Mus musculus: one gene and its partners. The protein of the gene in region 1 purifies or fractionates together with the protein of each later gene. This does not show direct contact. Links are inferred from orthologs where the notes say so. Each region holds a gene or a part of one and is shown in the gene's direction. Other genes may lie near its edges.

Evidence for each region.
Region 2: the proteins of Med7 (region 1) and Med9 purify together in Homo sapiens (affinity purification with mass spectrometry; 5 studies listed by BioGRID and IntAct, counting the BioPlex papers as one, with this or other methods). This does not show direct contact. The link is inferred for Mus musculus from reciprocal best matches to the Homo sapiens genes MED7 and MED9.
Region 3: the proteins of Med7 (region 1) and Cdk8 purify together in Homo sapiens (affinity purification with mass spectrometry; 7 studies listed by BioGRID and IntAct, counting the BioPlex papers as one, with this or other methods). This does not show direct contact. The link is inferred for Mus musculus from reciprocal best matches to the Homo sapiens genes MED7 and CDK8.

The regions. Positions count from the first base shown.
Region 1 is NC_000077.6:46,439,825-46,443,238, forward strand, and holds the end of Med7 (mediator of RNA polymerase II transcription subunit 7), read left to right. Parts: 5' UTR 1-151; intron 152-738; 5' UTR 739-755; coding exon 756-1,457; 3' UTR 1,458-2,897; downstream 2,898-3,414. UniProt on the Homo sapiens protein: Component of the Mediator complex, a coactivator involved in the regulated transcription of nearly all RNA polymerase II-dependent genes.
Region 2 is NC_000077.6:59,946,865-59,950,617, forward strand, and holds the start of Med9 (mediator of RNA polymerase II transcription subunit 9), read left to right. Parts: upstream 1-1,349; 5' UTR 1,350-1,402; coding exon 1,403-1,614; intron 1,615-3,753.
Region 3 is NC_000071.6:146,283,117-146,286,769, forward strand, and holds part of Cdk8 (cyclin-dependent kinase 8), read left to right. Parts: intron 1-512; coding exon 513-570; intron 571-2,991; coding exon 2,992-3,123; intron 3,124-3,653.

The DNA.
Region 1 (3,414 bases):
GTGAGTTAGCACACCTGTTGTCTTGGGTGGTCAACACGTTCTCAATTTTCAAGGTGTATTTCCTATCAGGAAACTTGAAGATAATATGGTCTGAACCCACAGTGAACTTCTGAACATCGTAGTTGTGTTGATCAGGCTGCTCTGGTCTTAGGTTGGTACTTTTTTCTCTCATCAGTGAAGTTTCATGACACAGTAACAAATGTCACAAGACCCTCTCCCTCCCTCACACCCTGCCCTGCTCTTCTCCCCCCCCCCCCCCCAGTATACTTTGCCCGGTCTGTTTTTGAGAAATTGACAAGTCTTCCGTGCTCTGGAAGGATTGTTTTGTTTTTGTCATTACTGGTATTGTGGGTGCCTGTCTTCCACTGAAATGTGGCCTATATCTGAAGATTTTTCCCGCAAGCCCCAGTAGATAGAGAGCTAATGTGGGCTGTCCCAGCTTCCATTTCCCTCAGACATTCTCTATAGAGGAAAAAGATGTAGCTTTTGTTTTATTAACTACTGTTGAAAACCCTGAGGAAATAAAGGAAAATACATGGATGTTAACATAATATTTAATTAGAACATAATTGATAGCTATTCACTGCTGTAAATGTTAATTTTAAAATCTAAGATCATCTTGTCTTGGACTGTGTACTGTCAGAAAAAGGAAGAACATATTCTGAAGTCACTAATTGGGGGCAGCAGGAGGAAGGTGGTGTTCATGATTCTGTTCTGAATCGTGCTCTGTTTCTTTAGGTTCTTGATTGTCTACAATGGGTGAACCACAGCAAGTGAGTGCACTTCCACCGCCTCCAATGCAGTACATCAAGGAATATACAGATGAAAATATTCAGGAAGGCTTGGCTCCCAAGCCTCCTCCTCCAATTAAAGACAGCTACATGATGTTTGGCAACCAGTTCCAATGTGATGATCTTATCATTCGCCCTTTAGAAAGTCAGGGCATTGAACGGCTTCATCCTATGCAATTTGATCATAAGAAAGAGCTGAGAAAACTCAATATGTCTATACTGATTAATTTCTTAGACCTTTTAGACATCTTAATAAGAAGTCCTGGGAGTATAAAACGAGAAGAAAAGCTAGAAGATCTTAAGCTACTTTTTGTACATGTACATCATCTTATAAATGAATATCGACCCCACCAAGCAAGAGAGACTTTGAGAGTCATGATGGAGGTCCAGAAACGCCAGCGCCTTGAAACAGCTGAGAGGTTTCAGAAACATCTGGAACGAGTCATTGAAATGATTCAGAATTGCTTGGCTTCTTTGCCCGATGATTTGCCCCATTCAGAAGCAGGGATGAGAGTTAAAGCTGAGCCGATGGATACTGATGATAACAGCAATTGTCCTGGACAGAATGAACAACAAAGAGAAAGTTCAGGTCACAGAAGGGACCAGATTATAGAAAAAGATGCTGCCTTATGTGTGCTAATTGATGAAATGAATGAAAGGCCATGAAGAATATTCCTTTTTTTCCTTTTAGTAAGTAGCATCATATATTAGTTTATTTCCTCTCAGACAGTCTTAAGAGGTATAACTAAAGATACTAAGAGACTTTTTTTCAATTGAAATGCTGTAGGTGGTAATTTAACACTAAACATAGGCCAGCAAGTATATTTGAGTAATTGCCATAAAAAAGCTGAATGTTTGCTATTGTTTGAGATAGTCCTATTTTTTGGAGTTGGAATAAAAACTTGAAGTAATAACGAATTGTCATTCTTGGAAAAAAAGTTATTTGCTTCGAGACTAATAAAGGGCATCAAGTGTACATGTGAAATTATAAAATGTTTAGATTTATTCCAAAATAATATAGAAAGTTTATTTTTCTGATTACTGTTCCAGCAAACTCAGTATCACAGCTTTTCTCCTCCTTATTCTCCATAGAATATTTGTTAGGGACTCTTTTTTTGCCCCAGTCAGGTAATGATGTGGTTATGATCCAATTCTATGAGAAATGTACATACTTCACCTTCACAGATGGATACAGGCTTCCCCCAAAAGATAACTCTATTGAGTAGCTATTCAGTCTCAACATAGCTTCTTTTCTGGTTTGTGTTTGCTAAGACTATCCTAGTCTCTTAGCCATCATACCACCCTCAGAAGAGTCTTGCTTCCAAAGTAATCTAATCAGAACACCTTGTCCAGTTTATATCCTTTTCAAACACATGTATATGTTGGTAGCACAGTTCTAATCACAAAGCTACCCACAACTCAATCCGTCTTTAGTCATTACAGATGAGGAAGTAGAGGTTCAGAGAAGTTGACTTAACCAACTAATAAGTGGCAGAATCAAGTTAGAAAGTAGGTATTCAGTTTCATAGCCAAAGTACTGAACTTCATTCTCTATCCTCTAGTCTGTCATACTGGAAATCATAACTAGAGCTACTCCAGTTTTCTAATCTTGAAATCCACCCTAGTAAATACCTCATGACACTAGACTCAAGAGGATACATTTGTTGATTGGAAGAATGACTTCTCTTTAAACATACTCAGGAGGCAGGGTTTGTTGGTTAAGACTTCCATATCTTAAGATGGTGCTTGTAATTCTACCTAAAAACCCTTCTTAGTAGGTAATGTTCCTAACTAAGACTCATAAGAATTAAAACTTCACATTTATGGTTTGGTTGGGCAAGAGTCTATGTGGGATAAGAAATCGGCAAAGATTTTTCTTGTTTTGCCCCCTTCTCCCTTTTTTGGTTCCTTGTCATCTTCATCTGGTGGTAAACTTACTGTACAGCCATTTAATAGGCATTGAAAGGTATACAATTTCTCTTTCATAATACTCATCTATGGCTTGACAGCAGTCATAGACAATAGGTAAATGAAAGCACTGCTCTAATCCAACTCTCATATATGAACAATTGGAATAAAATATGGACGCTGAAAATTGAAACTCAATTATCCAGGAATTTTGTGAGATATTTTGAGTTTTTGGGCCACCTAAATGTAAATTTCTACACTCTTGGGAGTTGAAAATCAGATCACGGAGTAGATTTGGCTGATGGCCTACATGGTTTAAATCCTGAAACATCACTGAGATACTAATGGAGGGGCAGTAGGTAAGGGTGCTAGCTTAGAATTCATGGTTGAAGGAAAGAATGGACTCTTGAGAGTTACAGTGAATACACTACAGAAATAAAAACAGCAAAATCTCCGTAGAATTGTTTTAAGGATTGAAAGAGATAACAGCTAATATTCTTACCACTTGTTAAAAGTTTTACTTATTTTTGGCATTTGTAGCCCTGGCTGGCATGAAACTATATAGACCAATCTGGCCTCAATCCAAATCCTGCTACCTTAGCTGCAGTGTTGGAGTTCTAGGCAGGTGTCACCACACTCAGCTTCTGGTTTTACTTTTCATTTGGAAGTAACTGGGAACAATTATGGGGCTCCGTGTGATGTTTCTATGCAAGTA
Region 2 (3,753 bases), about 14 Mb from region 1:
AAAACTAAGATATACCTTCCAGAGTTTCTCGGTGGATTAAATGAGGGTTTTAATGGTTTCTCGTCACTTTCATTCCACAGTAGTAGTGATAGCTACTGTTTGCTAACACTGCCGTTTTACCATGCATTCTCCCAGATGTCTCCAGAGGTGTCTTCAAGTCTTTTCTGGCACACCTGGTTCCATCTTAGACCATTCTCTTCTCCCTTCTTCCTCAGGAATCATGGCCCTTCCCCTAAGGTGGAGAGGTCCTGGGTTAGAAGGAAATCCTACAGTTTCCTGCAGTGAGAAATGTTCTTCTAATCAGACACTTAGTTCCACAGGGGCCTGTATTCCCTAACTCCACTCCCCCCACCCACCTTTCCCTTTGGGTGATTAGCCCATTGAGTCATATTGAGAAGTTGTGTTCCCACTAATGGGATGAAATGCACCTAAGCCTGAGATGGAAGAAAGTGGCCATTTTGTTGAGTGTTTCTGCTATCTTATCTTGAGTTCTGGTGCACTCATTTTCAAGAAATAAATAAATCACCTTGTTTCACTTTGTTTCTGTCTTCTTTTGAGCAACACTGAGATTATTCTTTTCCTGACAGTGCCTCTGTTTAGAGAACTATCTGCAGCTCTGAAGAAAACAATTCTGAGACCTGTAGCTAAAAAACCTGAAAACACCATTGTGAAGTTCCACGTTCCTGCTTCTTTTTGTTTCTGAGATGTGGGCTCCTGGCCTCTCTTTACTGACATGGTTCCTGTCATCAAAGACAGATGTCCTCTCCCAGTTGACAGCTTCCCTAATCCCTGATTTTTGTTAGTCAGAATCAGAATTACTGCTACCCTTGTCCAGAAAATTTTTAATGGAGCCCATTTGCTTGAAATGAATAAATACAAGCCTATCGTAAAGTTCTCCTATTTGGTCCAAGATCTTAGTCTTATATACGTATGTAGTCTGGCACCTGCTAGATGCATACCAAATGCTTGAAGAACGATTAGTTTTCCCCTTGGCAGCCGTGTGGAACTAGTTTGTATGGCCTGTTTTGCTGTCGCCAGTCTGGGGCCCTCCTGGAGGCTAGCATGACACAAAGACGTGTAAGTCCTTGTCATCTGGATGCTCGCTGCCGCAGAGCCTCAGTTTCACACGGTGCTCACCAGCGTCATCCGTTCTTCCTGCCAGTCCCGGGGGTCCTCGTTGGTGTTTTGACCTCTCTCTGTCATGTGAACTAGAAAGATGACTGGAGTAGATTCCCTAATCCTGACTACTCAATTTAGCTTTCCCGACACCCGTCGCCTAGCAACGCCCGCCCGCCTACGCCCAGGGCGCAGACTCAGAGTTTTTTCCCGCCCGGCCTCCCCGGGCGCGCAGTTGTGACGCAAGCACCCAGCGCCCCTCGGCAGCTGCTGGACTCCTGGTGCTATGGCTTCCTCTGGGGTGGCGGGTGGGAGACAGGCCGAAGATACGCTACAGCCACCGCCCGAGCTGCTGCCGGAGTCCAAGCCGCCACCACCGCCTCAGCCTCTGCCGGTCGCTGCGCTCCCGCCGCCGGCGGCTCCGCGGCCTCAGTCCCCCGCTGGCGCGAAGGAGGAGAATTACTCCTTTTTGCCGTTGGTTCACAATGTCATCAAATGGTAAGGGTCTAGGAAAGGTTAAGACACCACTTTTTGCGACTCTAGTGTCCCTGGTTCCGAGCTGCCAAAGCCCGTGGGCTCTGGACCACGCCCCATTTTCCCAGAGGGCCCACGTTGTCAGGCGCCTTAAGAGTTACACTTTACTCCCGGGTGAAGCCCACGTACTGATCAAATGCATAGATAGGTTCTGCAGTGTCCCATCCCAGATCCTGCAGTGACTTGGGGATGGGTCTTAAGTCCTTACACATAGCCCGAAGGCAATTTTATACAGTTGTTTTAATTCGCCTGCGTTTTGACTGTTCGCATGAAGCCCAGAGCGGAATTTCTCACTTGTGGCATTATATGAGCCCCGAAAAGTGTTCGAATTTTGGTGGACCTCAGACGTTCAGACTCGAGATTCTCACCGTGTACACAGTTTAGTACCCATTTCAATGCGAGGCATCTTACCTGTGTGGGCTCTGTTAGGTACTAGGGTTGTACACCGTAAAGAAAGGAGCAGCCATTTACCCTTACAGGGCTTAACGGTTACAAGCAAAGAAAAACAAACAAACATTCTTAAAAGTGGAGAGATGGCGCACACCTTTAATCCCAGCACTTGGGAGGCAGAGGCAGGCGGATTTCTGAGTTCGAGGCCAGCCTGGTTTACAGAGTGAGTTCCAGGACAGCCAGGGCTATCCAGAGAAACCCTGTCTCCAAACAAACAAGTGGAGAGGGGAGAAGTGATGCTAGGAAACATTTGAAACGAAGACACAGAAGTTGCTCTGAATGATTGTGTCCCACTATTAACTTTATTCTAATAATTCTAATAGAATATACAAGGATGTATGGTCTTTTAGGCCCAAAGTCTCCAGTCTCCATGATGGCCTATGTTTTTGCTCACTCCATATACGCTTGGGTCATTTCCAAGAGGTACACTTTTTGGTGCAAGCATTCTCAAGTGTGCTTTGATAAACTTAGGTGACGCGGAACAGTTACTGCCTGGTGCCTCTTTGTGCAGTCAGGATTCTTAGCAACACTGGGAGTTGGACAGGTTGGTGGGTAAGAGCACTCGCGGTACAAACGGCACAAGGATCTGAGTTCCAATCCTCAGCGTCCACATAAAAAGCCAGTCATGGCTGCTCGTGCCTGGAGCCCCAGCGTCCCAGCGCTACAGACAGATCTCAAGAGCTCTGGCCAGGCTGCCTGGCTGACACTGTTAACTTCCTATTTAATATGAGACCCTGTCTCTAGGCAACAAGGCGAAGCGCTACAGTATAATACATCCATAAACTAGTGACATCATTATTTATTATCATTATCAAGCATTAAGAACTACCTGTAATTGTATAGGTAATACTTTTTATCCATCAGGCAGTATACTTTTTTTTTTTTCACACTCTTGTGAGTGGCGCATTCTGCTGCAACATTACCACAACTACTTTGTCATTAGGCAAAGGAAGGTTTTGGTTACATTATAAGCATTAGACAGTTACTGAATATATGATCTGGCATTAATCAGGTTATTTAGCACATACCTGTATAGCCACAGGACACTAGGTGCAAACCTCTGAATTTCTTCTAAACCATTAGATACTAAAAGTAAATTAAGACAAGATTACAGTTCCGGTCACATTTAGGAACATTGGCAAGCCCTCTTGCTGGAGCTGAGGCAGTCTGGGTTTCTTGCTCTGGTGGTTTGGTGTTTGTCTTAGGACTGCTACTGCTGTGCTGAAACACTGACCAAAAGCAAACTGTGGAGGAAAGGGTTTATCTGACTTACACTTCTGTATCACTTTTCCTCACTGGAGGAAGTCGGCAGCAACCTGCAGGCAGAGGCTGATGTAGAGGCCATGGAGGAGTGCTTTCTTGCTCAGTGCGCTCTCTCTTCCTTTTTTATTGTGTTTGTTTCTCCTTGTATTCCTGGCTGTTCTGGAACTATTTTTAAGCCAGGTTGGCCTCAAATTCAGAAATCTGCTTGCGTCTACACCCCTACGTACTGGGATTAATGTCATGAGCCACCACTGCCCAACTTCAGCGTGCTTTCTTACTCTAGTAAGACCACCAGCCCAGGGTGACTCCCCACAGTGGGTGGGGCCTCCTCACTGTAATCACTAGTTAGGATGCTCTTCAGGCTCGCCTACAGCATGCTTCTGTGGGAGC
Region 3 (3,653 bases), on another chromosome or scaffold:
AGACTGTTTTATATAATTGAAAACATGTCAGACCTGGTGGCTCTTGCCAGAATCCCAGCACTCAGGAGGACATGGCAAGAGTCACCACAAGTGCAAATCCAGCCTGTGTACCTGTCAAGTTCTAGGCCAACCAGAACTACAGAATGAGTAGTAGAAGACGGAGACCAGCAGCAGATCTGGGAATTCAAGGCTGCTGCGGTCTACGTAGTGAGTTCCAGGACAATCAGGCTGTATCATGAGACCCTGTCTCAAGAGAGAGAAAAGGGGGGACATTGGCACTGTAAGTTTCTAATGCTCCACAATAAAGACCTATCGATTAAGGGCCTCAGCTATCTGTGATGAGGCCTGTGTGTGGCTTTGCTTGTATATACATGCAGTTTCTTCTGTGGCTTCCTGTGTTTAATTTTTGAGGAAAAGTATTTTTTAAGTAGATATATGTTATATTAACATATTTGTCTATTTAAAGGAAAACTACTACTGTCTATTGAAAAAAATTTTTTTTGTTTCCACAGAAACCTGCTAATATTTTAGTTATGGGTGAAGGTCCTGAGCGAGGAAGAGTAAAAATTGGTATGTTATATCTATGATAAGTCACAGTTCAGTATAGTTTTGAAATTGCTGTAGGCAGCTATATTACTGTTTTCTGTATCAGTATGTGTGTATATCTGTAGTTCCGAATGTCAAAACATTCTAAAAGTACATAAAAGGGAACACCTTCCCCCTGTCTCAGACAGTCCTTAGAGAACAAACTGCTGTAGTTAGAAAATAAGCACACAGGCAGGCCTCCTCCAACCATCTGCCTTGGTTAAACAGCTCTTGGAGCTGGTGGCTTCTTTCCTCCTCTGAGGCCAGCCTTGTCTCCTCTTAGAAGCACGTGGCCGATTTGATTCTCCCATCAGTCTCTGTAGCCAGGTCAATGAGAAGAAGCACTGCTCTCATTTGTCCAGCTGAGGAGCTGAGCAAGGCCTGAGTCCTTAGTCGCAGTGTGTACAGCTCTCCGTATGCAGGGCTGTCCCTGGCCTTGCCTAAGGGCAACGGCCTTCATGGCAGTGCACCTTGATGCTCTGTGCTGTCCTCTGTGTCAGACTTCTCTAAGGTCACAGTGTGACAGGACAGCAAAATTTACCCTAACTGCTGCTGCTTCCATTGTCGTTTTCCTAAGCAGTGTTTGTTACTTATATTTAGTTTGTTTGGTATAGGGGTAGAAGACATGTAATTAAGTTATAAATTAGTGTAATTAAGATACAGAGTCATAAGAGCACAGAACACAATTAACAGTAGTTTCTCTTGCAATGTTTGACATAAAGTAGAGCACTGGTTCCCAGCCTTCCTGTTGCTGAGACTCTTTTTAACACAGTTCCTCATGTTGTGGGGCCCTCCAACCATGAAATTATTTTTGATACTATTGTGAATTGTAGTGTAAATATTTGTGTTTTCCAATTGTCTTAGGTTCTGTGAAAGGGTTTTTCAACCTCAAAAGGGGTTGCAACCCACAGGTTGAGTGAGAACTGCTGAAGTAGAAGCTCCTGTAGCTATATGCCTGCTCACCAGCCAGTAAAACTTGGCTCTTCTCCACCTCTCCCCCACCCTCCTTTATGAGTCCCCCCAAAGCTCATGGTCCACTTTTAAATAAGCTAAGTGTTTTTTTATGATACAAACTTTGCAGATTCTTAGTTGTGAGAACATGTGATCCATGTTGTAATCTGAACTACAGTCTGCCATTGATGTCTGACCCTGATAATCCTGGGGCCACCAAATGCTTGTGGCCTTACGTGAGCCTCTGAAGGCATCTCTTCCATCTGATGTCACACTGTCAGATTCAAATGTTAGTCCTGGGAATACAGATTGGCCTAGGCCGAGTCACAGAACAGTTTTTTGTATGTCCTTTACCATCTGGTTTAGAAAAATTCTGCATAGCACATTTAAGTTCTCCCTTAGAATTGCACTTTTGTGTAGTAGTACGTGATGGTGGAGTGCTGGGTGGCACCACTTCATCAGCTATTCACATTTCAAAGGAAATATTTGATAATCTGATTTAAGGTTTTTATTTTTTTGCCAAAATTTGTGGGTTTTTTCCTCCATAATTAAGTCAGTTAAAGGTAAATCTACTTCATTAAAAATATGAAGAATATATACTGGAGGTTACAATATGGCTTAGAGGTTAAGAGCACTGGCTGCTCTTCTAGAGGTCCTGAGTTCAATTCCCAGCAACCATGTGGTGGCTCACAACCATCTGTAATGGAACCTTGTGCCCTTTTCTGTGCAGGCATACATGCAGGCAAAACATTGTGTATATAATAAATTAACATAATGTTAGAATTAAATTTTCCAGATGGTCTTGAATCTTGACATCTCCCAGTGGGTGGTAAACGTGGGTCATCCTGTATTTGTGTGCAGTGACTGCGTGTGAAGCCGTACAGAGATGAAGCCTCTAAGACTATGGATTAGCAGTACAAAGTTCGTAACCAAGTAGTTTGATGGCGTGGTACTGGTGCCAAGAACTCTCCAGTGCCATCTTGGAGACCTAGTTTTGTGGGTTTTGTTGTTGTTGTTGCTGTTTTTGGACTTCAGTCTCATGTGAAGAAGCACAGAAGTGAAATAAATCGCCTTTCAACTTAAAAAGTACAACGATTCTTTTAAGTTAGTGAAACTCCGGCCAAGTAAGTGAGGGAATAGTATTCAAGTTCTCTGTAGTCACCCTGATGACCACTGTGAGCAGGCCTGCTGATGCACAGCGGAGAGTACTGAGTACTGAGAGGTGAAGCACAGCTCAGTGTCAGGCTGTGCCTCTGAACCAGGTCTGCCCTGCCCGGGGAGAGCTGAGGAGCTGATCTCCGGTGCTTCTACATTTCAGTCCGTCAAAGTGCGGAACTTTATCCTCCTACCCCGGCCGGCCGGCTCTGCACACGTTCTTGATGACAACACTGGTAAATGAGACTGCATATGCAAAGTAAACTGTTGACTGATGTGGTTTTGTTGTTGTTTTCACAGCTGACATGGGCTTTGCCCGATTATTTAATTCACCTTTGAAGCCTTTAGCAGATTTGGATCCAGTGGTTGTAACATTCTGGTACCGAGCTCCAGAATTACTCCTCGGAGCGCGACATTATACCAAAGCAATTGGTGAGTAGGACTAGTTAAAATTACAGGGCTTTAAAATATTTTTCTGTGAAAGAGACATTTTTGTACATGTTTAAATCAAGAATTAGAAAATTATAAAAACAAAACCCCAGAATTCACTATCCATATATACACATTAGTACCTGATAACATGAAATTGCACGTCTCTTTACAAAAGAGGTTCAGAATGTTTTCAGTTAAAAAAAATTAGTTTTATATGAAAAGAGAAAACTAAAAATTTTCAGTTCTACGACTTTATACAAACGTTCTTTCTGTCACCAAAGAAATGCTAACGTCTAGGCAATATCTCAGAAACTAAAGAGAGAAAACATGTAAACTTGAGCAGTTAAGACTTATTCAAAGTTAGGAGCAAGGCACTCCTGCTTCCTCACGTCCCGTTGTCAGCTGTGTTAGTGACGTCACAGTGCGGGCCGCTCTTTCTCAGGTCCTCTGGTGGCTGCCATTCAGGTTGTCGGTAGCTCACTCACTCACATGGTGCAGCAAATGAAGCTCTCACCCGAAGCCTTTTCTGC